Linked DNA regions of Lonchura striata. The protein of the gene in region 4 interacts with the protein of the main gene of each other region in a pairwise test. Links are inferred from orthologs where the notes say so. Each region holds a gene or a part of one and is shown on either strand. Other genes may lie near its edges.

Region 1 (7,440 bases), on a different chromosome or scaffold from region 4:
AAAGCAAATCTTTAAAACAACTTACAAAAAGAGTGTGAATCAAATTATCATCCAAATCCATAGTGTAGTGATAAACTCTGCATCCATCTAGAAGAGATTTCTGAATCTCCAGCTTAAAGCAGACATATAATTGAATCAAGAGAAGCTGGGACATGCAGTTCTCCCTGGATGCTTCCTTGTGCTGTGTGTGTCACAAGCCATCTGGGCTGATTAGCCTAAAAGCACAGAATTTCTTAGGCTTCAGGGAATAATTGCAGATATTATTTACAATTTAAGGGTTATTCCTGATCTGTAAGTTGTTTAGCCACCTCATCAAAGTAAATCCTTATCAACCATTTCCTCTGGCTAAGAAGCCAAGCCTCCTTGCAGTGAGGACATTGCCAGCAGTGCCAGTACCTCTTCAATAAAGGCCATTAAAATGCACTCTGCAGAGCAGGACCTCAGCTTAGCACAGACTAAGTGCTCCTGAAAAACCCAACAATCTGCAGTGAAACAGGCATTTTAGCAAGAACTTGCGACACCAGTTCCCCATGTGACCAGGGATAAGCAAAACCCCCACCCTGAGGAGACTTTCTTCAATTCCTATAGGATGTCAGCAGAACTGCTGCAGCTGAATCCTCCCTTTAGGAGAGAGAATGACTACTGAGCAAAGTCCAGAACTCTGCAAATCCAGCTACTTTTCATCAAGGAGGAAACAACATTTCAGAATATCTTGAAAATGCACCTACTTGCTAACAGTTTAAGGTGAGCTGGGGTGTGTGTCCAAGAGCTGTGAAGAAATGCAAAGACCTTTCCTGACTAGCCAAACTTCAAATTTAAGATAACTATTTAAAGCTGTTGGGATTTTACTGTAACGTACATGTGTGTAGGTATCCAGAGATTTACATAATCTGTTTTTATTGCTCTAACTGAAACACAATACAGGATTTTCAACCTAATTACCAAAAGCACCATTAGTATTTTGATCTCCTTAGCATCCCTGTTGGCACGGGACTTAACCCTGCCTGAAAGCTTCTAATTAGGAAGATGGTGCTGCTGTTTACAGTGAATAGTGGCTGAAAGAGAACACCACAACCACTGTTGATATATTTTATCATATTACATTCTGCAATCTTATATTCCTTCATCTCCTCTCCATTTTGAGAGATCCACACTTTCTAAGGATTCCAGGCAAGCAATGTTCATGACAAGACTGATGGCATGACAGCCTTTTATCTAAAGATCCCATTGCCAACATTTCCCATTAACTGGTTTATTCCAAATAACCAATCCCTCTTAAAGGATGATCAGGTCCAAAAGTAACGGATTTTACTCCAATAAGCTTTTACATGAACAGTTCCATTAAACAGGATTACTCATTACTATAACAATACATTAAATGAGATCATTATATTAACTGAGACTATTTCTACCCTTTTCAACAGCTTTACAGTTAAAAGACAATACTGAGCAGTTTCTGGAGTCCAAACATTGACATTTTTATAATGAAAAATACTATATAGGAGCAGAAAGTAAACTTCAACTTCAGAAACAACTTTTAGACTCTTAAGTTGGATATTGACGTAGATCCTTGGCTGACATTTAGGTTACTCGTGTCCCATTTGTTAGGCCATCACCTCTTCAGCTGGGAGGCATATAATTCAAAATGGGCCCATAGAATTTAGAGGCACATGATCATTATATACACGAGAAAAAAAACCTTGCCAATTTCATTCATTATCAACAAACAATGTAAATGTTTACTGCCTCAGGCTAACCCAAGAAGATAGAAGTTTACTAAAGTCTCGGTACATATATGAAGTGGCTCTCAATGTAACAAAATGAGAACTTAAGATTCAACTTCATTTCACTTTTAACACCTTCGCAGCAAAAAATTCTATTCTGCACCAAAGCAAGGCTCAAAGCCCACAGACACCAAGAACAAACCTGCTATAGATATGAAGTTCTAACCCTGCAAGATGCACCAGCTTCCCTGAAAAGCGCTCTACATCTTTACACAGCATACCAGACGGAGTACCAGATCGACAATCCTTACCTTAATTTGATGTCTGGCCTGGACACTACGGCTCTGCTAGAGCATAAACTTCCCATGCAGTTTTGCTTTCTTAAACTGAAGATAAACAGCTCGACCTCCTCCAGCTCAAAGTTAAAGGCTGAGGTTGCCTACGTTTCATTGTGTGCCAAAGTACATTTGACAGAGCACGAAGTGAACAGCAGGCTCTGGGTGACGAAAGCAAAGTCTCAGTATCATTAAAGAGAAATCACCACAACCTACAGAACATCCCCTTGGTATAAATCTCAACAGATCACTGCTCAAGTAGAAATGCCACCATTATAATTATTTTCCACCGTTACTGTTTTTTTTTTTTAATTGTTGTCTACGAACACACACTGGGTGCTTTTGCTTCTTCCCCATTTCGTAGACTAAAACCCTCGAGACACGAAACCTCACGCTACAACACCTCGGCGGCCGGGGCTCGCAGCAGCTGCCCCCAGCACCTGCGAGCGCGTCTCCCCGAGCACGAATTACAGGGCGCACAAACCACCGCAGCGCCGGCGCCGGGCCCGCCGTGCCGGCTGCCCCGAGCCGCAGCGCGGCGGCGGCGCGCCCGCGGCATCCGGCCGGCGCGGAGGGGAGCGCGGAGGGGAGCGCGGAGGGGAGCGCGGAGGGGAGCGCGGAGGGGAGCGCGGAGGGGAGCGCCGAGGGGAGCGCGGAGGGGAGCGCGGAGGGGAGCGCGGAGGGGAGCGCCGAGGGGAGCGCCGAGCCCGCCCCGCCCCGGCCTCCCGCGGCCCCGCTGCCGCAGCATCCCCGGCCGAGCCGCGACCCCCGCCCCGGCGCAGGGCGGCGGCGCTGCCGGGAGGACGGCGGCCGCTCCCCGCCGGCACAGAGCCCCGATGAGGGGGGCAGGGGTGGCGGCCGCCCCGCACTCACCGGCGGACGGCGCGGGCCGCTGTCGCCTGCCGGGGCAGGGCCGCTCCGCGCCCTCGGCTCCCGCCGGCCCGGCCCGCGCAGGGAGGGGCGGGGGGCGGGAACACGCAGCCGCCCGCGCCCCTCGGCCCGCCTGACGTCAGCGCGCCCGCCCGCCCGGCCCATGGCGGCGGCGGCGCCGGGGCGCATCGCCTCATCTCCCTCATCGCCCCCCTCGCCCCGGCTCCCTCATGGTCCCCATCGCCTCATCTCCCTCATCGCCCCGGCTCCCTCATGGTCCCCCTCGCCTCATCTCCCTCATCGCCCCGGCTCCCTCATGGTCCCCCTCGCCTCATCTCCCTCATAGCCCCCCCTCGCCTCATCTCCCTCATCGCCCCCCTCGCCTCATCTCCCTCATAGCCCCCCCTCGCCTCATCTCCCTCATCGCCCCCCTCGCCCCGGCTCCCTCATGGTCCCCCTCGCCTCATCTCCCTCATCGCCCCCCTCGCCTCATCTCCCTCATAGCCCCCCCTCGCCTCATCTCCCTCATAGCCCCCTTCGCCCCGGCTCCCTCATCGCCCCCCTCGCCTCATCGCCCCCTCCGCCGTGCCCCACACCGCCGAGCCCCACACCGCCACACCACAGCCGTGTGACGCTGCCACCGGGCGGGCAAAGCCTCTGTCAGCCTGCCCCAGCAATCGCCGAGCTGGCTGGCAGAACCAAGGGCAAATGGGAGTTGTTGAAGGCATTGCAGGAATGGGCCTGCGAGTGTCCCGGCCCTGCGGCATGGGAGGGTACGATCATAGCATCGTCTGGGGTGGAAGGGACCTGTAAGATCACCCAGTGCGGCCACTGTAAGCCCTGAACCATCACCCAACACCAGATCCCGATGACAGACACCTCCAGAGACTGTCCCTGTGCCACCTCTCTGCACAACCTACTCCAGTGCCCAACCACCCAAACAGTGAAAAAACTGTCTTCTAGCATCTGTTCTGTTCCTGTTCAAGGCCATTTCCTCCTGTCCTCTCTGCAGGCACTGCAGAAGAGACCGGCCCCACCTCAGTAAACCTGCTTTCACAGAGCTGCAGGCAGTGATGATGGCCCCCACCCCAGCTCCCTCGCTGTTCCTCACAAGATATATTTTCTAAACCTTTCACAAGCTTTGTTGCTCTTCTCTGGACATACTCCAGTCCTTCAATGTCCTTTGTAAAGTGGGGGCCCAGAACTGAAGACAGCACTCGAGGTGCAGCCTCAGCAATGCCCAGCACAGGGATTGGGATGATCCCTGCCTTGGTCCTGCTGCCCACACTACAGCAGAGGCACTCAAAGGAGAAAGGTGGTGACCCAGCTGTACAAAAATCCTGAAGGACTCTTGCAGTCACCCATGGGAGACCAGGCATTCTCCATGCCGGTGCTCACAGAATTAATTAAGTTTAATTTCCTCAAATTTTCTGCCTGTGCTAGGAATTAGAAGGCACTGACAGAAGGCTCAGGAAGTTCCTTGCCAGTGAAGTAGATCACTGCACCATTATTTACACCTCAATGTCTTTCCGCATCTCTCCTGGTTTGGGGCCTTTGTGTTTACACTACCACAGCATTTCACCATCTCATTTGCTGTGCTTCAACACTGGGTGTTCAAAGTTTCTTTTCTGTCAAAACTTTCAATAGCCAATTTTTCTAAGCTTTTGCCTGCCTGATTTGCCAGGCCTCCCAGAGGGAGGAAGCTGTGCAGTCACCTCAGGTGTATATTTGTGTAGAAATAAAACCAACACCCTGTAATTGATAAGCCTTCTTCACCTCTTAACTAGAAACTGGGTGTGCCCAGATGTCAGCCCAGGCACTGCAAGTGCCTCCTCATCTTTCTAGACACAGGGCATGAAGACTTTGGTACATTCGCCCCATGGGCAGCAGAAAGGCCTTTTTAGAAAAAGAAGGAATGAGAACTGAAGCTTTTATGTGGTTTTTTTTTTTTTTTCTGCTTAAACTTAAATGTACCAGCCACATTAATGCATTTATTCTTAGAACAATCTGAAGTAAAATGACTCTCCTGTGGTACAGGAAGGGGGGGCAAGCAGAGAGATTAAATCTCTTGCTCAAAGCTGAAGAGAGCAAAGTCAGGAAATGAACTCAGATTTCCTCAGTCAGGCCTCAGTGCTTTAACCACACAATCATCCTTTCTTGCCAGTCATTCTCAGCTTCTGAACATCAACTGCATTAGCATAGATTTGATTTTTCCCTACTTTGTTCATCAAAACAACATAACAACTTTCCCATTCCTCATAAAAATTTCTTCCTAATAACTTACTTCTCTGTTTCCTAACTAAAGAAATTATATTAGAGACTCGCTGGAAGATTTGTATTTCCCACTGCCTTTCTGCAGGCACTGATGAGTGTTTCTTCAACATCAGTACTTGAAGTCCTCTCCCATGAAGCGATTGTGGAACTCCTCTGGTACATCTCTGAGGCACAATGGGTGAGATCAAGGAATAAAAATCAGAGAACCAGGAGCACTTGGAACCAGCACAAAGGAGGCACATATGCTGTGTGTGCTGACCTGGAAGTGGTGGTATAACCACATTTTTTAACTCCAGCTCATGCTTTTATAATCCAGAAATAATTATGAAACAGAGCTCTGAAACAAAACCACACATGTAAAAGAAGAAAGCAACTTAGAGATATTTTAGGATGGATTTGAGAACTTCCACTGTCTGTTTAGGCATTTAACAGATTTCCGTGTGCTTATATAGGCTAAAGATTAAGATCCAGTCTTGAAGCAGAATTGAGAGTTTCTGAAAAAGGAAGCGTTACATACAAAACTCCAGATTCTGACTGTTTGCCTCAAGAAATGGTGTTAACCCTCCTACAGTCAGACTGCAGACTGAGGGCCAGCTATGATCAACTGCAGTATCTTTTCCTAACAGTTTATTATCAGATGTTTTCAGCTTGAGGTCTTCACCTTGAATTGATTCTCTATTAAATTGATTTAAATGGACATTATATTACGCTGGGAGTTGGACTAAAAGCTTGTTATTATCCTCTTTACTCACTGCCCTGGCAGTATGCTGCCTCCAAAACAAGAGACACAGTATGGGGTGACACCAGCCACCCCGAGAAGAGCTGGATGTGCCATCAGTGATATTTACACAAATATTTTCCCAGCCCCAAGAGTTCACATGCCAGGGAAAAGAAGAGAAGGATTTCTCAAATTTGACCATGTAGCAGAGCCCTACACTCTAGAAAATATGAATTAGTTATTTGTAATTCTCTTCATTACAATGAAGCTGAGTGAATCTGCTTGAGTTAAAATTATCTTCAAAGCAAGGACAGTCTGCTTCCTGCATCACTTCATAAAAATTATCTTTGCCATGATGTCCATACAAAAATCCTTGCTCTGTAGCTCATATGCTGTGACTGCTGCAAATTCATCTGTTCATAAAAATTTCACTTTTACTTTGTGCATCCACTTTCTGTTACTGCATTCAAACATATTCTGCTTGTACTCAGATTTTATGCTGTCTGACAGATGAGCTATATTTTCTTGGTTTGCATTCTTTCAAGTTCAAAAGGGATAAGCACCCAGATGCAACTGTTTTTTCCCCCACATATAAGTAATAATGTATTCATTGTGGGCATTTTACTTTACCAAATACTGCAGCATGGATTATCACTAATTCACCAATATTCAAGAAAAGGAAAACAGATGTTAAAATTAGAAACTATATGCTTCTTGGGGTCTAGGTGGATATTTCATTAAATATATGACAGTGCGTGCAGTTGGATGGTTAGGGGTTGAAATTCTTAATTTCAAAATGTCTCATGATTCTGTAAAATGCATTCATCAACAGGCATCAAAAATAAACTTTCAGCCATCTTCACAATCTGTGTATCTACAAATTTTATTTTTTTTTTAATTAAGGAATATATCCCTTTTATTTTTCCGTGTTTTCTTTTGACACAAAGGAGTCACTGTCTCCAAAATTACCTATTCACTTTTCAACTTCTTATACTTTTTAAACTATACACGTAATTTCATTTTTGTACCTCCTTAAAAATATGTACTAAAATGGATATTTCAAGTCTATTAACTTGTTTACTGAGATAAGAAGGAAAGCATTGGGCTAATGTCACACAGAGATGAGTGTGGTCATATGTGTGTATATGTATTATTTCCATTTATAGCGTCCACAAGCAATGAAACTTTGTACCATTCTGCAACAAATAATTGTATAAGAATAAAATAATTCAGTTTGGTGCAAGCTGAGGTCTTTATAGTGGTTCCCCATCAATGAATCTTCTTCCCTTTTTACTTAAGGGAAAACTAAGAGGTGAGCTCAAACTCATTCTGCTGAAATACACTTTTACCTTCTCACATTTAAGACTAAGTCCTTCTTTTTTTTTAGCTTTGAAGAAGAATCCAAGTGAAGTAATTGAAGATTTGATATCTTTTCAGACCTTAGTGCTATCTACCACTTTCTAAATGATATTTAGTTAATAGGGTAATATTTAAATGAATACCTGTTCATTGCAGTTTC
Region 2 (7,634 bases), on a different chromosome or scaffold from region 4:
GGCAGGTTACTGATTTCTAGTTCAGAAGACACGATATGGTCATGGAAGCAGCCCTCTTAATTTCAAACAGGCTTTAGGTTATGTACACACAGGAAAATAGAAGATGGTGAGTTATAAATCAGATAGGTTCCTTTTTTGGCAATTGTGAAGCAAACCATCTGTATGCATTACAAGATGGACAAATAATGATGACCATGGATTTGTCAAGAACAAATCCTATTAAACCAATAAGACCTCCTTTTAAAATAAGGTAATAGGTGTTACACAAAGGAGAGAAGTATTAAAAATTCATATATCTTCATTTTAGTAAGGCTGTAGACAATGTTTCTTGTGAATAAGCAAAGACAATATGGTCCAAATTGAAAGCTCCATGGTGTAAGAAAAGGCAAGACTATTTCTGAGGAAGAGTTAGCAAAATGGGGTCATTATCAAAAGGAGAGATGTATTGAAAGAGGTTTCTCAAGGTATCTGATACTCTTTATAAACATCCAAAGAATGGAGTAGAGACTAAGCTTGATACATTTGAAGAGGACATGAAAAAGAGAGCAAATAAAAGAGTGTTAGAGAACAGAATTAGAATTCAAAGGGAATTTGACAAAGTGGTTATGAGGAGATTTTTTTTAAGAAAAATACAAAAGATGGTATTCAATAGGTGCAATAGACATAGCATCATCAGTTCCCCAGATACAGGATGGGGAAAAGTAAACAGGATTATAGTTGCCTGGAAAAAATGTAGAGTGAATCACAGGCTAAGCACGAGTCATCACTGTTATGCTGTTGTAAAAAGGAAAATGGGATTGAAACAGGGAAACAGCCTGCAAAATAGGCAAAGCAATTATTTTGCTCTGCTACCCCATGGTACAGCTTAAATTTTAGTGGTTTGGGGTAGGTTTTTTTTTTAAGTTTTTCATCTGAATCATGCTTGGCTTGGGGAATTGTGCTTCCAGAATGACACTGGGTGTCTGCAGAGGAGTGCAGGGGAGTTCAAGCTTGATTACCAGTCCAGACAACATTAAATATCAGGCTATTAATGGGACAGTTTGTAATAATGAGGCAAAGAAGATACAGGGTCTTTAAATATGGAAAAGACAGCTACAGGGAGGAAGCAAAGAGTCTGTTCTCCAGGCCAGGAAAGACAGACTTTTCACTAATGGACTTAAATTCCGGTAGGGGACCTATTTAGAACATACATTAGGAAAAAAGACCTCTAGTGATAAGGGTAGAGAAACACTGGGAAAAATTGCCTGAGGAGATGGCAAAAGCACCATACTGAGAAGCCTTTAAGAACAAGATTTAAAAAGCAGTTATGTTGCAACAAAAGATCATGTCTTGGGGCATGGAAAATAACAGGAAAGGGGGATTTCTTAAGGTCATTTTCAACCTTATGCTTCTTAGGATTTTCCTGTTCCTCAGATTTCCCTGGTTATAATATTCACCTCACAAATTTAAACAAGAGTAGGAGAAGGTCTGGTTTGGATGTTCACATGTCAAAAAAATTTAGGCAACAGCTGTAAGCTTGAAGGCATTCAGAAAACAGTTCTGGAAAGGCACTTATACAGTGCAGAATCAAAGTTAATCCATACAGTTTGTTAAGAGAAGGTGAAGGAGTAAATCTGCTGCATTTCACAAACATCTTCAAAAGGAAGATATTTCTGTTAACAAGAAGCAGGCTTGCAATGGACAGATGCTGCAGCTAGATGAATTTACCTTTTCAAACAACATTTATATTTCAATCAAGTTTTTTTTACACATTAAGGTAGTGTGGTACATGTTAGCATAACCACTGAGAAATCTTCAAAAGTGCAATGATGGATTGGCCATTTCTCAAAAATAAATAAATAACAAATTTTATTCTTTGAAATAAAATGAAGATGCCTTTTTTAAAAAAACAGCTACAGAAAGACCTTGCTGTGGGAATGGCTGGAGGAAATTCTACAGCTTTCAATATTCAGGTTAGACAAGATGATCATAATAATCTCTTTGGCTTTCAAATCTGTTTACCTAACTTTGTAGAGAGATATAATGTTTACAGATCACTGTCAAATCTGCAGAAATGGATTAGAAAAAGGCATGAATGAGCAATTACTCTTGTGACCTCTATGAGGTATAACACTTACTATTTACCAGGTCATTACATTACAAATTGTCACTTCTTTCCTCAGTTTTAACTGCATAGATTAATCTCTTTAACAGCATCTGGAGTTCCATAGAGTAATATATTTATATTAGCAGCATTATATATGACAGCAAATATATACTATATATTATGGTATATACATCATAAGTTATATATATATGACAGATATATATTTTTTTTAACCACACTAATTTTCTTCCTTTTGTTCCAAAGAGATATGCGGGGTAGTGTTTCTTTTCTCCAGAGGGTCACATCTGCAGTCAGTCACTGTCAGCTTTGTTCTGGTGTCACTGAAGGGGTAGGTGATGGTCACTAAACATCAGCTGGGGAAACCACCCACAGCAGATTCAACAAAGTGCACCACACAGGAAGTTCTGCATTGACAGTATTATCCAGGGCCCTATAGATCATATGATTCCTGCATGCTGCTTGTGGAAATAGGAGGATTTGCCTGTGTGGATGCCAGTGAAGAAGGTACACAAGTCATTTATAAGGCTTCTGTTCTTGCAGGAGTTGTGCTGTTCTGACAAATTCCCAAGGACCATGATCTGCATAAAAATACTGCTGAGAAGCCTTTTAGAAATAGCAGCTTAAAATCTCTAAAGGCTGGGTGATATTTTCACAAGCAAAAGATCTGTCAGCTTGTCCTCACTTGGGGGCTTAACACTGGAGAGGTTGACACTTTTCAAGTTCATGTTCCCTCTTAATGATTCACCTATTTAGGGTCTTTTCACTTACAACAGAGGTGAATATTCGATCAAATCTGTAACCGAACTATAGTTTGGCACTGAAATTTATCACTTGAACTAAATCTAAACTCATGGTTGTTTATTACAAAACCTTCTGGGTACATAGTTCCCTTTATGGACTCCCACAAAAGTCAATGGGCTTTTTGGGCACAGGTGTCCCCTCTCAGAGGGCACTGGGCTGGGGCCCAGGTATGCAGTGTGCTGGGTGGGGCCTTCTGAATCCACCAAACCTCTCAAAGAGTGGTTTTCTTTGGCACATCTGATGACAGGCATTCAATGAGAAAATTCAAACAAGCTGTCATGGAGAAAAAATATAATTTTGAACTGGGTGGCAAACGGTTGCACTTTTTTTTAATATTTTATTTCTCTCTTTTCTTGGAGAACCAAGGAGCTCTTTTTATGTATTGGATCTCAGCAGAAAACCGCAGTAACTAGTTATAACTGCGGAAACTTATAGAAAAGACAGGTACCATCTGCTTTTGTTTTTCCCCAGAAAGATATTGCATAATGTTTTACAGAGAAGAGGAAAGAGTCAGAAATGTATTGCTTATTCATAATATGACATATTCCAGTCTGCTAATTTAACCTGAGCACCTTTAACCTATGAAAGCAAAGTTAGGAAGTGTGTGGGGTGTGGCCACACATTTTTTTTTATGGTGCTTTTTATGGTGCTTTAAGGTTTTATGCAAGGTAATTTGCCTTCCCATTAGTATCCTGCTTTGGCCTGGTTTGGCATAACTAGGAATGGAGTCTTCCTTGCTGGTGTGGGTTTTTTTTTTTTTTTTTTTTCTTTCATTGCTTTTCCTCTCCTTCCCAGTAACCTTTTTGTCTGAATGTGGCTTTTGCAACCAAATACTGAAGAATACCAACAAAGAGTGAAAAAGGAAATCTCCTGAGTCTTTCCATAAGGAAATGAACTTGTGTTCAGAATTCCCATAGGCAGCCTGTGGTTTTGGAAAGAAACATTTTTACTGGTTTATCATGAAAGGAGGACAGATTTATGTCACCTGGGGCTGACAGCACTGCTTGAGTATTTGTGCCTGGGCTTTTGCCCCCCACCCATCCTTCTGCACCTCCCCTCACAGAATCACAGAATGGTTGGGGTTGGAAGGGACCTCTGGAGACCGTCCAGTCCAAGCCCCCTGCAAGGCAGGGTCACCTGGAGCAGGTGACACGGGAACATGTCCAGGTGGGTTTGGAATGTCTCCAGGGAGGGAGACTCCACGACCTCCCTGGGCAGCCTCCCTCACACCTCAGGCTGGGAGTCCCAACACTACTGCTGGGCGAGTCTCTGCCTATAGGCGCAGTGCTTGGGGGTGGTTTTATTATAATTTATTACTTTTGTTCACAGAATCACAGAATCTGCTGAGCTGGAAGGGACCCATAAGGATCACCGAGTCCAACTCCTGGCCCTGCACAGCGCCGTCCCCAGAGTCGCCCCACGCGCCTGAGAGCATTGTCCAAACGCTTCTTGAGCTCTCTCAGGGTCCTGTCGCTGTTGTCACTGCCATAGTCAAGACTGTTATAATTAAATATGTTTTTTCTTCCCTTGCTCCTCATCCACGGGAGAACCGACCCCCATTTTCTCCGGGGGCCCTCAGGAGCCCCGCGCAGGGCCGGGACTGAGGGGGGGAGGCGGGCAGGGGGCGGGGCCTGCCGGGGGCGCGGCTCCCGCCGGGGCGCGGCTCGGGCCCGGCGGCCTCCCCCGCCCGCCTCGGTGGCTCGGCGCTCCCTCGATGCGCTCGGGCGGCGGCTGGCGGCGCCTGCGGGCGCGGGGCGCTGCCGGGAGCGGGGCGGCCGCAGGTGCCGGATGCGAGCGGCGGCGGGCGGTGAGTGACCGGCCCCGGCCCCGGCCCTGCCCCGGCCCCCGGCGGGCGCTGCGGGGCAGCTCCGGCCCCTTCCCTTTCCTTCCCCCCCCCCGCCTCCCCGGGGCGGAGGCTGCCCCCCTCCCTTCGGTCTCCCCCCGCCTTCCGCTCCCCGGGCGGGGTCGAGCGTCGCGTCCCCGCCCCGGCCCCGTGGGGACGGAGCTGTCGGCGACGGCTCTGGCGGCTCAGGGGGCGTCGCTGGGCTCCGGCCGGCTCCCCCCCGGTGCCTTCCCGGCTGCAGCAGCTCTTGCTCCTCCCCAGCCCCCTGCCGGGGCGCTGTCGGCAGGGCGGGGGGTTCCTGCCACCGGCGGCACTCGGTGTCCTGCCGGGTGACGCTCCCGGGCGAGGCCGGGCCCGGGCCGGGGAGCCCTTCCCAGCGCTGGTGGCACTGTCCCGGCCCCAGGGCCGGCAGCAGCGGCTCCGTGGCCTTTGCCTGTGTCTCGTGTGTCTGACAGCGGCCCGGGGGAGCGCCGGGCTGCACGGGCTGAGCCAGAGCTGCGCCAAGTCCCAGAGTCCATTCGGTTGGAAAAGACTTCCGACATCGTCCCGTCCGACCCGTGTGAAATGATGGGGTCGTTTGGCTCAGTGAAGTGTGGGTGTGCTGGGTGGGGGAGAGAGGAAATGAGCAGGGTAGAGAGGTGAGTCAAAGCTGGTTACTTGCAGGACTTGTTGAAAAGCTGGTTATTTTCAGGACTGATTTTATGTTTTGTTTTAGTTTTTTTCTTTTTTGGCTTCGCATTTAGTTATGCCATCAAGTTTCAGATATAGCTGCCCAAAATGAATGAGTACCTAGGCAAATGCAATACGAAAAAACAGGGTAAGGAGTGTGGGAGGAATCGAAATAACATGCTGGTTGAGAGATGGTTGCTTTCATTCTTCTGTCTGGAGAGATTACGCTTCTCTGAGACTTGGATTTTTTTTTTTTTTCAACTTCCTACACAGTGCTACATTTCTGCCTCATTTGGACTACCTTGCAGTCCAGAAGCGTCCATGAGCTGGGTGACCAAACATCTTTCCTCCTTGCCTCTTCTATTATCCTAATTAGGAACCTGAAAATGATCTCTTAGCAAGGTGCAGATGTCTGAAATTTGGGATGATCTTGTTCCCAGAGGAGAGTTTACCATTCTGCACAGTTCTACTGTTTTTTTAAATAGTCTTCCTTCTGCAATTTCTTCACTTATTGCAGGTTAACAGCTTCTAACCATAGACTCAAAAGCTCTGAGTCAAAAGCCAGTAAAATATTAAGCCATCCTAGCTCTGACAGAACATCAGATTAAACCTAAACTACAAATATTCATTGTTTAAAATGTAGTTAGAATCATAATCACGCTTCAGTTTTCCAGATTTTCTGATCATTCTTATAACAAGTAAACAGTCTTCTTTCTCCTTTAGTGATCTCTTTGCGTTTCACTGTTATAAACATTTTCTTTGTTTTTGCTTTTGATGTTTTTGTTTTGCTTATGGTGAAGTTGTCAGAACAGTTAAAGGACTGTAAATAAACAAACTTGTGGCTTAGAAAAACAGGTCTGATTTCTTCCTTTACATTTTGCTCACCTGAAGCAGGAATGCACTATAAATCTTATTTCCCTATTTTTATCGTATCTTATCCCAGCTTGCACTGACCTAGCAACAAGCAGCAAGAGGCATATCTTGTTGCTGATTTCTTTCCTATGGATAGCTTAGTGCTTGTGGTTTATGCCCACTCTTTGGACAACTGTTTTTATTTAGATGAAATGTCTGTTGTCTGCAAGGTCCTTTAAAACAGATGCGGTTATTTTCATTATACTGGTTGGACTTATCTGAGTGAAAATTATTTTAAGTTGTAATGGTAAGGGTGGTTTTCTCTATGGAAAACATATTTTAGGATGTGTCAGAGGTGAAGCAATTTAATTAAAAGATTGTTATCCATCAGACTTATGCTGGCTTTAAAAAAAAAATATAAAGTTGTCTTGTATTTTTCTGGTCTTCATTCAATAAATGAAAATGTTTTTACGGACTTGATGGTTTGTGGTTGTTTTTAATGCTCTAATTGCTTTTCATATTTTAGAGCTAAGCAGGTCTAGGTTAATGAAATTCCAAATGAATAATAAAAAAAAAAAGTAAAGTTCTAAGTCATGAACAGTAAAAGAAATCTAAAATGGTAGGATTTCTTGTGAGAGTGAGCATGGGTTTTATGCCAGCTGTTGAGAGCATTTGAGGCAAAACTGGACAGTAAAGATATGAAAATCTGTAATTTGCCAGTTGTTTTCCTGAGGTCCTATTAGAAAGAAACTGTATCCACTAATACAGTCCATTCTTTATTATGCTGCTTTTCCCAGAGAAGCTGGACTAAAGCAAAATAAGTAGGTTGACTAGAAAGGCAGAGGCCACTGACCTCATTTATTAATCAAAACTTTCAGATATGTTATGTTGAACCATACTTAATCAATTTCTTTCAATGCAGTGGTATATTTAGCTGTAAATTCAGTAAGTCTTAATCACTGTACTTGAAATTAAACTTAATCAGTTTTGAGTTATTTTAATTCTGTTTATTCTGCAATTTTCGGCTTTCCAACTGCACTTAAAAAAAAAAAAAAGCAAGAATGTAAAGATAAAAGTATTTCTCTTGAGAGGATGGTGACAGAAGAATGAATATAAAATGTGTTCTTAAAACATAGATTCTGACAACTATGGAAAATATCCATGAAATAATATATAGTTAGAGTTTTGTACACCAGGACAAAAGCTGTGGAGCACATGCAGACACTACCTGCATGTATTTTGAATGCCTGTAGGTCACTATTTATTTATACAAACAGGCAAATGAAACCTTCTGCAGGAGAAGTCAGAAGGACTTCATTTTATAGTCAGGGACTGGAAAATAGTACTCAGAGGACTGTAGAT
Region 3 (6,896 bases), on a different chromosome or scaffold from region 4:
CTCATCTCACCTGGCTCTTACATTATCTTTTGTAATGGCAAATTGCAGTGCCCCTCAGCTACAATAAATCCCGGAAGGTTTTATTTTCAAGACAGCTACCTCAAAAATTGCAAGCCAGAGATATAAAGCAGACAAAGGCAAAAAAAAAAAAAATTACTTTTGGTGTAGTTTATCCTGATGTCATTCTAGAGACTTCACTTTTAGTTACTGGGCACTTGCACCATTATCAGAGCAGAATCCATCTCCCAAGGACAGGTTTTGTTGTAGTAAACTGGTTTTACTCCAGCTGGTTTATAAAGTCCTACCCTTGGTGTATTTACACGGCCATTAGCAAGTCAGAACACCTTTCAGAGAAGTGAATTGCAGACAGCCAAATCACAGCCCTAGGCTGATGCAGAAGTGGGTAGGGTTTTTAAACTTTCTGCAGCAGTTAGTGTTTAGGCACATAAAAGCACCCCACCCTCGTGCCCCAGGCAAGAGAGAATACTCAGACATTGCAGAGTGTACTTCATGCATCAGGATACATCGCTTGGCTTTAAACGAGGTCAACAGATTTCAGAAAAATGAGAGAAGGGGGTAATACATATATGCCTTAAAACAGTATGCTGACTAACATCCCAGATACTCAGTGGCAATGTTTAGGGGGAAAAGGCCTGGTTGTTGTGCCCAGCAAACTGTTAAATGGAAGTTTTATGATGCTCCTGACACTCTGGAAGACAAGAACCCATAAAGCTTAAACTGGAGTTTCTAAACTCAGAGCCAGTATCCTTTTTTATTACTTTCCATTATGACTTTGCTACTACAGATGATGCCCACAGAGGAATTAAAACATGTAATTGTCCTGAGAACACTGCTGTGTCAGCCCCAGTGCTCCAGTGCTGTTCTGGTACCACAAGATTATTGAGAGGGTACATGGATAATATCTTTCACTGTGTAGCCAAACTGGTGTACACTTAGAAGAAAAAATAATCTGATAACTAAAATGTCAATGCAGAAATGCCAAAGAAAATAGAATCAAGGAACACATTTTGGTTCCTCGGGGAAACTAATATCTTTGAAGGGAAGTGGTATGTTCAGCAAATAGAGATCAATAATTTTATTACCCAGTGCACAGTTTCTTACACATTTTTTTCAATTATTTTGCTTACCCCAAACTCTTCTGATCACAAGAGGAAGCAAAGAAATCAAACAACAGCATTGCAGTGCTTAATAAACACTATTGCAATGAATGTGCTACTGTGTGCACATACTGGTAATCTTAACTTAACAGCAAGAGAAACACTCTGCAGTGTGCCATAAACATGCCAGGATCAATGACACATGGATAATCTGTTTTCCTCAAGGAAAACAGATGAGCAGTTTTTGAGAGGAAGTTTTCAGTCTGACTCTGGTTTGCCAGTTGTAGAAAACATAATATCCATCACTATTGTGTTTCTGCAATAAACATATTGGATAGTCACTGCATAGTGCTTGATGGCACTCTAGTTCCCAGCTCTGCAGGAGCTCCAGCCAAGTGCTGGGCGAGTCATGTTTTTGCAGTACTGTGTAAACACCAGGTAAATTCATAGGAAAATGGAGTAAACACAGCTAAACAACACTAACCTGAACAAGATCTTTTTCTAGAGTCATTGCCCATCAATGAGTACATGACAATATTTCCTTTCCTCTACTCTAGATGCAGCACACTAAACTCACACACCCAACACATGGCACCATTGTTCCAAATTCCCAGTCCCAAACAATCTGTAATCTCACTTGGGGTGGGGCATACTGGCGTTGCTCTAATTAAGTACAATGATAATGCACAGGATGACTTTTTCATGTGTTATGTTCATGTAAAATCTTACTGGAATCTCACCTGGCAAATGATCTAAAATCTCAAGCTTTCTGTTGTTCTTGTGCAACTCATCTGTTAGCATGTCTGTACAACAGAGCATGAGTAATTTAAAGTAGGGACCATCCTTGAGATTGAAGGAAATACCCTGTGGTCTTGGAGACATGCCATCACAAAGCTCCAGAGCATCCAACCCTCTTGATAAATTTGTAGCACTTTTGCTGTTGCACTCAGGAGTCCATTTTTAACATATTTAAAAATTAAAATATCTGCAACATTAAATTAGCTGAAGATTTAAAAAAAAAACAAACCTCAAAACCCAAAAAAGGGGCAGATTTAAAAAATGCTTTCAAACTGCCTCAACACTTGGGGTATTGTTCAGCAGGGTTTTTTTGGTAGATGGTTACAAAACATAGTACAACACCACATAATGTAAATTCCCACATTTGCTATGAAAATATTATTTCTGAATCAATTTCACCCACAGATAAAATCTTATACAAGGTGTATAAGTTATATAAGTTGTATAACTTATACAAGTTGTCAGATTTCCAAAAACAACTTGTAGATGGGCTTTGAATGCTTTGATACCTTTTACTGTAGGAGAGTAAAAGGTTGCTATCATTCCTGTCAAATACTCTTTGAAGTGTGTGGATCTATGAAAATTCATGGTCAAAACTGCAGCAACTGCTAACACGTTATCACACCTACAACACTCAGTGCTTACGCATCTCTTACCTCCAAATTGTCTCTGGTCTCAATAGAGATGGGAGTTACACAAGGTGAAGAGAAAATAGTGTCCTTATCTGTAGCAGGAACCAGGCAGGAAATTAATGCAGTTCTGACACAGAAGCTAAGGGCATGATCCAGCGAGAGCATGTGGGTGCCTGTACCCCACGTGCTGCTCTCAGCACAGCTGCGTGAGGCATCAATGCACAGCTCGGGGCAGTTCAGCTCTGGGCAGTGCTGGAGGAACCACTGGGACATCATCCCTAAGGGCTGGGAGCTGTTGTTGTTATGGCTTCCTCAGCTCATTCTGTCAGTTCTGACAGTTACAGCTGAAAAACGTTTTGTACAAATCAGTTTTGAGAGAAGTAAATCCACATGGGGAAGCCAGGTGTACAGCTGACAGCAACAGGAAAACCACTCTTCAGCAGTGCCTTTGAGTGTAAGGGAACTCTCCAATCCTGAACTGCACCGTGCAGCCACAGCTGGGATTGCTCCTTGTACAGTCACAATCTCCCTATTTCTCCAGTCAAATGTCTTAATTTTCTCTTCTTTCCCACAACCATGACAGTGCTGCTCAGGTCACACGTCTCCCAGTGAGTCCTTCAGTTACACTTTTTCCCCTTATGTGAGGAGATGGTTTCTGGGATAAAGGCTTTTGCAGCTCGAGGTGGAGAGTTGTGGCTCCCTTGGCTGTGCTGTGCTATCCGTAGTGGGGAGCACTGCACACTGAGGCAGACCGACCGCCCTCCCTGGCACAGGACACTTGCAGGGACATTTCTTATCGTTTCTTATCCCTGGCAGCTAGGCCAGGGAAGGTTTAGGTTGGTCACTACGAAAAATTTCCGCATAGGAATTGTGATTAGAATTGGATCAGACTGCACACGTAGATCCTGAAGTCACCACCCCTGGAAATGCATAAGACTGAACACAGCACTTGATGCCAGGGTCTAGCTGACATAGTGGCGCCGGGTCATAGGCTGGATTCGACGATCTTAAAGAACTTTCCAGCCTGATTCTGTGAGGTGACACCAGGCCTTGATCCAGACCCCAGCCATGGCGTGGCCGGCCCACGCTGGCCTAAGGGACACAGCACCGCCTGGCATGCCTAGATGCAACAGGAAAGTCTACGAGGTCCTCGGAGACGCCTCGCGTTTCCCGGGAGCGGGAGCGGGACCTCCCTCAGGCTCCGCGCCCGCCCCTCAGCCCCAAGCGCCGCCCGGGCACGCGGGGCGCGCAGGCGCGGCCGCCCCTGCCCGGCGCGGGAGCTGAGGGGGCAGAGCGGGCACAGCGGGCAGAAGCGCCGCTCCGCCCCGTCCTTCCTCCTCCGCCCCGTCCTTCCTCCTCCGCCCGGTCCTGAGGGCTCTGTGCTCCCCGAGGGGCCTCCCTGCGCTCCTCAGCCCCGAGGGCCGCTGCTGTGGCGGCGATTTTGGGGTGCCGCGCCTCAGAACCAGCTCCACGGGTCTGTGGCCCTGCTTATGGGCTGCACGGTCTTCGTCCTGCTTCTCTGCGGGGGGAAAAGTAGCAAGGCAAAAGTTTGAGTGTTAATAGTATTGTGTTAATAGAGTGTTTAAAAGTATTGAGCCTTTTGTTATTGAGACAGTAAAAAGAGTACGTGCCTTTATATAACGTAGCTATAAGCAGGAAAACAAAGGACGTAGTTACAGACGTACCCAAAGTGCAAAAGTCAAGTAAGTACTGAAAAGTAAAATTGTTTTTTCCCCTTCTAATTCAAATTTTCTTTGCTTGCTGGACACAGTTTTTTGTGCGGTGAACAGCATTACTGGTTGAGAATGCCAAGGATTCTTAGCCGAAGATACAGGAAAAGGATTTTAAGCGTGCAGGAGATCTGTGAATATGCTGCCAAGTAACAGCATTAGCAAACGACTGGAGAAAGTATTTGTTATGGTCATTTAAAAGCGAATTTGCATTAGAAAGTAAAGGCAGAGAATCATAGGATTGCTTGGGGTTTTTAAAGTTATCTCTTAGGCTTAAAATTATTTTGCTCCTTGGAAAATTCTTACTATCTTTCATATATATATACTATATATAGTATCTTTGATATATATATATATACTATATATACTATCTTTGATATATATATACTATATCTTTGATATACAGTATACATAAGAATGTTGCTTTTTCTAGGCTCTTCCTTACAAAAAGAAATAATAGTATTAAACTTCCATTATATTTAATGGATGCTGTGGTTTCCTGTTTAATTGATAGATTGCTAAAATACCAAATTAACTAGACTCCTTACTAAGGTCTGGGTTTTTATAATAGAGTACCATATGTTCAGTTTTGAACATCTGGGGGGAATGTTGACTTCTAAGATAAATGAGGCCCTCCATCCTTTGGTATCAAGCCCAGGGTTGCTGGGCTATTAAGGCTTTGGCATTCTGAAGCTTTAGCAGTTTTCATCTGTGAGGAGGAAGCCCCTTGTGCCAGCCCTGTGTTGCCTAGTTGTAATTCGCAGGATTTTATTCTTGAGAGGCTTCTGTTTCAAAACTGGTAATTGCAATTTGCAGGTGAGTGGAGGTATAACTGTTGATTTTCCAGCTGCATTCTGGTCATTAGTAGGTGGTTCACAATTGCTAAATGAAATTAAACATTGCCAAATCGATTTGAAGTTGGTTCGTGCTGGGAGGTGTGACTTAACCATTTTAATTAAGGCACCTTTCTGAGTGAGCTTGGGATTTTTCCTGTTAATCAAAACTTCCACCTGTGTGAGTAATTACTTTTTAAAGCAGGATCCCCAGAAGGATCACATGAGACTGGATACCCAATTATATTGTTCTATAGAAAAGATTGTTTATATTTGTGGACAACAAAAATCCTTCTGGCTCCACAGAGCTTTTGGAGCAAGGGGAAGAATAATATATACAATGGATTGTGAATGACTTCATGGCAGTTAGTTGTGTCATGGATCCTCTCAAAGAAAAGCTGTTCACAAAGCAAGATGCTACTTAGCACATGAAACAGTTGTGTAACTTAGCAGATGTCCTTTTTGAACATGCCAATTAGAAAAGAAGCCTTAAAATTTCATATTAGAGCTTTTTACTAATTTCTGCAGCCACATGGCTCATTATAACAGGTGACAATGACACCATAATTCATTCTGTCATTTAACAGAGACAGCTATTTATCTCGAGATGGAAGAGTCAGTGCTGGATAAATTGCCATCTTTGTGCAATACTCCAAAGGATTCTGGGCCAGCACCTGCACAGGGCACTAGTTCAGGGAAACAGGTATGAAAACTTCCTACTTTTCCAATAATGTGATTGTTCATAGTAACAAAATGCTGGTGAAATCATCGAGGAGTCAGAAGTCACTGAGATGCTGCTTGCTGGAAGGCTAGAGACAGGCACCTTATACCTCTAGCTACAAGGCTGTGCAGGTAATAATGTGCCTGGTGTACTTTGCTCTGAAAATGCAGATGCTTGCTGTGTGTACAAAGTGATGGAGCAAGTGATGGCCTGTTAAGAAATTTAAATACTATATAGGGTGTGTGATGGATCTGTCATCGGTTTTCTCAAATCCTGGTTTTCTGGGTTGCTGTGCATGCAGGATGACTTTCTGTGACTTCTGCCTGCAGTGGAACAAAGTACAATGCTTTCAGTTTGTGTATTATCCATAGTGCTGAGCTCTGCTTTGGTCTTATCCTGGGATGCGAAATGGTGATACTGCAGGCTTGGTTTGAGAGTATTCTGTAACTAATTCCCCCCTCTTGTATTTTAGTGCATTTCTATAAATAAAAATGTTAGACACAGATTATAAAAAAAATAGTTATTTTGAAGAAAAAAAAATGTTTTTAGATGCTTGTAAAGTATCTCAAAGCATGAACAGGTCAAAATTATACAGGTATTTCTAATATGTTCTAGAATACAGATGTTTTGTACTAGTTCTAATGCAGATGAATGGGATGGAACAGCAGGAAAGTAACCCTTACCTCCATTAAACTAGAGGGGAAATTGGTAGAATAAAATTATCCAAGTTGAAATATGCTGTATTTCTTTTACACAAACACTAGATGAGTAAGTTTGCCTCAACAGAATACAAGATTTTGTCCAAGAAAATGTGGAGCTACACCTTTCCGTATCTTGCAGCTGTGTGTGCAAATACAAGTGAAAGGAAGATGTTAAATTTGTTCAAGTTTTTGAAGGCTATACAGACAATTAGGAAGTCTGGCTTTACAATGATCGTTAAATATATTACATATTCTATGTAAATAATAATGATTGGTAAACGGTGATTTGAGATTTGATAAAAATTTAAGAATATTCTGACCACCTGGCTTTTCTGGGTTTATTTATTATTTTTTCAGCAAATG
Region 4 (7,746 bases):
CAGCAAGGTCTCGAAGTGCCCATGCAGTCTGCCTTTTGTAAAAATCTCCCTTGTCAGATTTTTTCACTTTTACCACGTTCACTTGCACTGGTCGTTCTGTTGTCACTATTAAATGAAGTAAGAGAGTCATTTCAAAACACACATACTACTTTCACATCTGTGTCTGCTGTACTTCAACTTCCCAAACAAATTATCTGTGGGGGAGATTTGTTAGCATTTATCTGATGAAAAGAAACATTTTGAAACCTTTTCATCCACAATAACCGCAACTCAGTTTAAGTCTCAACCAAACAGGTATACTTCTCTATACAGCTTGTGAGGTAATGACCCCAATTTTCAGCTATTTCTTTGATGCAGCAGATCTTGGACCATGACCACATAACTGACATAGCACAGACATAACTGGAGAGTACAGTCAGAATGAAAACATTTTCAGACATTTTTCAGTCAAAAAATATTCTAGCAAGCTAATTTATTGACAGATCAACACAAAGCACCTAGTTTTTTAAAGAGATAAAATGTAATAAACATACACTTCAAGGAACATTAGAACTCAATGCAGTTGCTGTGCCTTTCCTTGGTCTCTAACCAGTATTCTTTAAAGCATTTTATTTAGGCTTATCAGCTTAGATTATTACTAAACCCTGTTTTAAGCACTACATAAAGCTTGTTTCAAAAGCCCACCAGTCCCTAGAGAATACTATTTCATTCTTTCCTTTCAAATTACAATGAGATCAGTGAATAAAAGTAGTGGGGTTTGCTTCTTTTTTTAGTAGAAGCAATAATGAAAGTACAAGTTATAAATAATTTTCTCCATTAGGAATGGAAAGCACCTGTTTTATACAAGTCAAGAATAAGAATTGTACATAAAGCTAAAACAAATGCAACCAAGAAAAAACAAAGGTGAAGATAAGAAATATAGTGTGGTATTCATATATACCTGTGGCACACAAAAAGCAGTTCCTCTTCTTTTTGCCTGCTTTGCACACATTCACAATGCTCAATAAACGTTCATCATTGGGAGTGAAAATATCCCTCTGCAAAGCATGCTTGATTGCAGTCATTTTCTCTCAGCTGAAAGATTTTAGGAGGTAAAAAATAAACTCAAGCATATTTACCAGACGCACGAGAAAAGAACCTGTCATGTACTTACAGTAACCACAGGATTTTAAAATCCAATTTTATAGATAACTTAATGACTTGTAATCTAGACAGGCATGACTTGGGTAGAAGACCAGACCACTTTAGGAAAAAAAAAAAAACAAAAACCTTACTTGTTTCAATTAGAAAACTGTAATTTATTAATACCTGGATAATTCTTGAGCTTAAATTAATGGAGTACAAAAAGCTTCTTTGTAGTAGAGGGAAATACTAGGCATTCAATAAAGTTGAAACTGGAACCAAGGAAAAAAAGACCATCCAATACTCAAGCTTGTAGAATTCAATCACATAAGCCCAAAAAACAACAAACAAAACAAAACCAAAAACCCCTCTCCAAGCTCCAGAAAATTAAGGAATTAGCAATATTTACTTGATTAAGAACAGTGCCTCACACTAGAGATTTTATCTAGACTGAACAGAGAAACACATTACACATCACATTCAAGCGTTTTTATTCAAATACAGAAGATTCAATATTATCTGTGCCTTAAAATTCTACAGTTCATTTTAAAAAAGCATGATTAGTACACACAACATACTACACTGCTGGATGCTGAGACAATATATAGAGTTGAATTTCAGGTTGGGTTGTTCTCTTGAAGATGCCCGAGTTGTTTCCTCTGATAAACCCATAGAAAAGACAAAATCTTGGGCACTACAGCAATTTTGAAGATTAGAAAGTTAAGAACTTTGTGAAAACAAGGCCACGATGCCAAAGTGAAAACAGTATTGTCAACAGCGCTCAGGGCATGCTGTTTAAATGACACCCTATGGCAATGTACCACTCCATAGCTGCTAATAATTTTCCTTCTCTTCATCAAATGCTGGGCCCACCTTTTGTTTCCCCAATTGTACCAGGTCACCATTCGTGTTACTCTTCAACAGATGCATAAGATGAACACACAAAATACCAATAATCTGCTATATTTCAAATTCAGATGCCTCTTTCCTTCCTTATTTAGGATTTTATTTTCTGCTCTAAGTCACAATCAAGCTACTACAAATTGCTAACTCTCCTATTTCAGTGCTATCACAAGTACTGCAGGTTAGGCAGAGTACACCTTTCCCACATCATGATAAATCCAAGATCCAAGACTGGCTCTCATAAACAGTTCAACTTCTGAATTAAAAACTCAGTTCTTTTAGTCACAGCCACCAAAACATTCACAGTGTGCCAGGACCAAGCACAAAATTAAGCTTTTCACACTTGAATCCTGCTGCCTCAAAGGAACACAGAATTCAGCCTAAGAAGCTGGAAATAAACATTTCCTGTAATGAGCCAAACAAAGGCTACATGAAATTTGTTCGAGACATGACATCCCAGCCGCGGCTTGTCCAGGAAATACACGCCAGACGGGGCATGGCAGCGTGGTAAAGCTGCTCAGCACTGCCTGGCCTCTCTGAGGGCGCAAACAGGAAAAGACGCTGCTCCCGCATCCCACCGGCTCAGAACACACCACAACAGAACGCAGCCCAACCACAGCATCGCCGGAACTCAATCACAAGATCAACAAATGGACAGAAAAACCTCAGAAGAGCTACCTAGAGCAGCGGCGGGCTCCCGAGGGCCCGTCTGACACCGCCTCACCGCCTCCCACCTGCGAGTCCCGCACAAGCGGCCCCGCCCCGAAGCCGGAGGCACGGCCACGGCCGAGCCGGCCCGCGGAGCACCGCGCCAGCCCCACGCCTGGACGGGGGAAGAGCCGGAGGGTGCCGGGGCCGCCTCGCTCTCACCGCGGCACCGGGAAGCGCCGGGAAGCGCCGTGCCAGGCCGGGAAGCGCCGGGCCAGGCCGGGAAGCGCCGGGCCAGGCCGGGAAGCGCCGGGCAGGACGCGGCGCTCCCGCCGCAGCTTCCGCCCTCGTGACGGCGGCGCGCGGCTCGGGGCGGGCTGCCCGCGCAGCGCCCCCTGGCGGGGAGGAGTGGGCGCGGCGGGCGCGGGGCAGAGCTGCCGCCCCCAAAGTGACGTCAGCATTCTCCAGTGACGTCACGGCAGAGGACTGAGGGGGTTTTGGTCCGTTAGGGGACAAATGGGTCCACAGAAGAAATGCAGATAAACTTGGTACTTAAAGAACATACAGTGCATTACAATTTTGAATTACAGTGTCCAGCTCAGACTGCATGCTGTAATTCCATTTGGCCACAGCATCAGGACTAAGGTCACTTCATAGAATCAGCAAGGTCGGAGAGACCCTTAAGATCATCAAGTCTAACCATCCACCCAGCACTATCACTGCAACCCCTGAGGCATTAAACCTTATCACCCAGTACTAGATCCAGACACTTTTAGACCACCTCCAGGGAGAGTGACTCCACCATCCAGGCAACTTATTCCAATGTCTGACAATACTAACAGTGAAAAAGAAATTCTAATATCTAATCTGAATCTCCTCTGTCTGAGCTTTAGGCCGTCTCCTGTTGTCCTCTCACTGCAGGCACAGCAGGAGAGCCCAAAGCCCTCCCCACTACAGCCTCCTTTCAGGGAGCTGTAGAGAGCAGGGAGGTCCCTCCTGAGCCTTCTCCAGGCTGAACAAACCCAGCTCCCTCAGCTGTTCCTCACAGGACATGTTTTCTGGACCACTCATTAGCCTTGCAGCCCTTCACTCCAGCACCTCAATTTCTGTTTGAAAGTGAGGGGCCCAAAACTGAACACAGTACTGGAGATGAGGCCTCACCAGTGCTGAGCACAGGGGGATAACCCCTGCCCTGGTCCTGCTGGCCACACTATTGCTGACACAGGCCAGGGTGCCATTGGCCTGGGCACTCACTGGCTCATGTTCAGTTCATATTCATAATCTGTGGACAGCAGTCAGATTTTTGCTTTGCTCCTAGGTAGAAGAATCTGGACTAATTGGCAGTCTTTGATGTCAGTGATAATCCAAATAGGAAAATTATGCTGAGACTAGATTTAGGATTTAGCATGAGAACTGATGTCCAAATTGGTTATAGCTACTTGTAGTCATTGATGAATTCTGTGGAAACTGGAACTACCTTCACTGTGACAGAGGTTCACCACATGATCAATACACTTACCTAATTTTTAGCATTGTTAATGTAATGGAGTGCAGAGTTAAGGATAGACTGAAATCATTCCAGATTACTTAAATTGTATATAATTTATTAATTTTAGTGTGTATCTGATAAAATGTATTTGCAAGGCCACCACCAATAAACAGAAAACATCCTTTCCAAGGAATTGTTTTAAATTTCCAGTATGTGGATTTCTAACATGTAGAACTGTGTTTCTGTAATTCCTGTATCATATTTCTACTTGATCAGGAGCATTAATTGAGATGAGCTCAGTTGATTACAGCATGGTGTTAACATCACCAACACCGTGGGTTTGAGCCCCATATGGGCAATTCACTTAAGAGCTGGATTTGATAATCCTTGCATGTCGCTTCCCAGAATATTCTGTGATTAAATATGACTGACCAATTAAGTCTTGCTGAATGTACTTTTGTTTTCTCACTTACAAAACAACATGCTGTATGATTCTATAATATATCATTCACGAGGGCCATGGTTAAAATAGAAGTTATAGTTTGATAATTTCTCAATTCAGCCACAAAATGTGTATGTCTGTCTAGATTTATAAAGACTGGACAAGGCAGCCATAAAATACTGGACAATGTTCCATAAAGCTGTTGTTATTAGGGAGAATGCTAGTTTCCTAACTTTTAGCTTTAATTATGCTAAAAGAAAAAGGAAACCACACTAAAATGCCCTTTTTACTGCTAAAATGGGTTTACACATAAAAACTGATATGAGATTATCTACCCTGTGCCATCCTCTCCCCTCCTACTTTAGATGCTCTTCCACAAATGCTCTTTAGAAAGGGTGTTTGATCTTTCAATACTGACTTTAAGTCATGAAAATATATTCTTAAATTACATATTAAAAATTATGGAATACAATCACTCACTTTACTAGAAAAAAGATTTCTATGCTGAAAGTGACTGAAAGCATTGGGAAATAGGTAGCTGGCAGGGAAAGCAATATAGGCTTGTGTTGGAAAGAAGTATGTTATTATAGGTATGACTCCAAAACACAAAGGAGAAGAAGTATGAGAAGTAACCTAGAAGGCACAGTCTAGAACATGCTCCCTGTTCTCTTTCACTGCCATTTTTTTTTTTTAAATTCCACACTGATCTGCATTTCCTTAATTGAGGATGCAAGAAAATATTAGCTAACCATGAAAAATAAATTCAAAGGAGAGGAGTATTTCTGCTCTCAATAAATAAAATTTAAATAAAATCTATTGTCATAGGTTTCCCCGTAGTCTTAATTCCGATGTTTTTAAGATAAATACCTTTAAAAAATCACCTGTCTTCTATGACAGCCTCTGTTCCCTTTCTGCCTGTTATGTGAGCATGAATTTCTGTCTGCTTATGATCACTCATCTTCATTTTCAGGCTGCCATGTATTTTCTTCTGTCTGGAACAGAGTTGGCTAATTGCTTCTGAAGAATGTCTTCTGAAGAAAATCTGCATTATATCCTCAACCTCACATATTCATTCTAATCATGTAGTTGAAACCGTTTATAGGAATGCTACAGATTCATTCCTATAATCCTTTACTCCCCTCAGTTTGTTCCTTGTCAGTTTTGGAGAATTCTTCCAGGAGAACTAGATTAATCCCCAGATACTTTTTTCCAACTACATTCCATTTACCTAAGGTCAGGAAATGTGATGTAGGAAATAATTTTGCATTAACTGAAAGATGGGCTGTTTAGCCTGTTAGATCTTTTCCATTCATTATTTAGCATATTCTCTGTGTCCTGTGGTGCAGCCACGCTATGCTCACCACAAAGTGATAGTGTCCCTCAGACTTCCCATAGCACATCAGGCAATTACAGAGTCTTGGTAACTGGCATCTTAGAGAGAACTGTGTGAAAGTAAGGAGCCCCTAGATTCAGTCCACAAAGATCTTTTAAACTCTTCCGTTTTATAGTAACTGAAATAATTTACATGGACAATGTCCCTGGTTTTCCCATTTTTTTTTGTTCAGTCTGACTACTCAATTAAGAATGTCTGAAATACTACATTATCAGAAAGAAGAGATGCCAGATATTTTAATTCCATATTCTTCCACAGAAAATGCAGGTTTGTGTCTTTCAATATAGTTCATGACATGTTTATATCACACAAGAATAAAAATGTATAAACTACCAATGGGAGTCCATTGAATATGGTTGAACATTATATTAGCTTTTTAGCTATCATTATTTTCTAAAATGATACACACAATTACTGGGCAAGAATTCAGTATACATGTACTTTATTTCAAAGGAATGCTCTGAAGTGCGCATTTTTAGAGTTCTAACAATTACAAGTTGAATGATGAAAGCTTTTCCAGCCAGAAAACATTTCCTTGTGCCTATTAAGGAAAGAATTTGTAAATATTGTGGAAAACATTGTGACCTCAACAATCAACACACAATTCAAACAAGACAATGTATCATAGATAGCAGTAGCATGAATTCTACTTCCTATATAAGATGGTTTTGTGGAACCTGGATGTTGGGCAAATACTTCTTGTAGCTAATAATCAAATGTCACAGCATGCCCACTTACACTGGATTATCCCAAAGACATTCTCCAAAGAACAACTGTATTATGCAAACAAACACTAAAATTACATTTCTTCTTTCTAACAGTATTTCGGTGGCAAATTTAAGACCTTACAAATGCCAGAGGATTTCTGTTACCCATAAACTGCCCTCACAGCTGTCTTACTGTACAGTAATAATTACTAAGACCTGTGTTAGAACCAACGTAATTTGCAATATATGCCTAGAATAAATATCTAACTTCTGAATATTAACTAATAAAAGGTATGGGCTTTTCTATATAAACACAATAGGATAACATTTAAAAAGTAGAAAGCTGTAATTTTTACAGGTTTTCAAATATATTCTCACTTATTTGATATTATTTCAATTTTGAATTCAAAGTACATTTACACAAATGTTTTCAAAGGTGGGAGTTCACATGAAAGACAAAGTCCAAGCCACAAGTACAGCAGAGTACCCTTGCACAGATATCCCATGTTAGAGATGAGCAAGGATATGAACCAGCCTGTGATCTACTGGCAGCTGATATCTCAGCTCCAGGTCCATACCTGCTTTAGCCCACAGCCTGCCTTCCTGGTCTCTCTTGGCTACCAAAGGAAAAAGAATTTTCTCCTGCAGGACATTCTGACCAGAAGCTTCTCTGAATGGAGCTTACTTTGGGTCGGCATTTTTTTATTCACTATGGGATGAACAGCCAGCTAACTTAGCTGACTGACACTGGGTGTCAGCGATGGTGACACCATGCTTCTTATCATTAACATTGTTCTCTTCAGCTTCTGTTCAACACAGCTGCCACTTATCCTCTGTTTCTACCATAGTATACTGCTAACACAAGTCCAGCTGTTACATTTTGTGAGCTGTTCCAAGCAATCAAGACTCCACCCCATAGTAAATGTAGCTCTAAGTACTAATGTGTCTTTCGGTAGTGCACTGAACATGCTTATACTTAGCTAGAAATTGGCGAAAATAATTCTCATTATTCTAACTTTGAAAACTCTATCATTTGCCTAAA

The links.
Region 1: the proteins of EXOC1 (region 4) and CCSER2 interact in a two-hybrid assay, tested with the Homo sapiens proteins (2 studies listed by BioGRID and IntAct). The link is inferred for Lonchura striata from reciprocal best matches to the Homo sapiens genes EXOC1 and CCSER2.
Region 2: the proteins of EXOC1 (region 4) and EXOC2 interact in binary tests that used the Homo sapiens proteins (3 or more experiments, as listed by UniProt). The link is inferred for Lonchura striata from reciprocal best matches to the Homo sapiens genes EXOC1 and EXOC2.
Region 3: the proteins of EXOC1 (region 4) and SFR1 interact in a two-hybrid assay, tested with the Homo sapiens proteins (2 studies listed by BioGRID and IntAct). The link is inferred for Lonchura striata from reciprocal best matches to the Homo sapiens genes EXOC1 and SFR1.

What each region holds. Positions count from the first base shown.
Region 1 is NC_134609.1:4,658,442-4,665,881, reverse strand, and holds the start of CCSER2 (serine-rich coiled-coil domain-containing protein 2), read right to left. Parts: upstream 3,019-7,440; 5' UTR 2,933-3,018; intron 2,221-2,932; exon of another isoform or gene 2,036-2,220; intron 1-2,035. UniProt on the Homo sapiens protein: Microtubule-binding protein which might play a role in microtubule bundling.
Region 2 is NC_134603.1:95,192,844-95,200,477, reverse strand, and holds the start of EXOC2 (exocyst complex component 2), read left to right. Parts: upstream 1-4,633; 5' UTR 4,634-4,715; intron 4,716-7,634. UniProt on the Homo sapiens protein: Component of the exocyst complex involved in the docking of exocytic vesicles with fusion sites on the plasma membrane.
Region 3 is NC_134609.1:21,116,144-21,123,039, forward strand, and holds the start of SFR1 (swi5-dependent recombination DNA repair protein 1 homolog), read left to right. Parts: upstream 1-3,893; 5' UTR 3,894-4,251; intron 4,252-5,698; 5' UTR 5,699-5,718; coding exon 5,719-5,814; intron 5,815-6,890; coding exon 6,891-6,896. UniProt on the Homo sapiens protein: Component of the SWI5-SFR1 complex, a complex required for double-strand break repair via homologous recombination. Acts as a transcriptional modulator for ESR1.
Region 4 is NC_134606.1:27,480,284-27,488,029, reverse strand, and holds the start of EXOC1 (exocyst complex component 1), read right to left. Parts: upstream 3,009-7,746; 5' UTR 2,896-3,008; intron 2,863-2,895; exon of another isoform or gene 2,704-2,862; intron 1,075-2,703; 5' UTR 1,065-1,074; coding exon 941-1,064; intron 106-940; coding exon 1-105.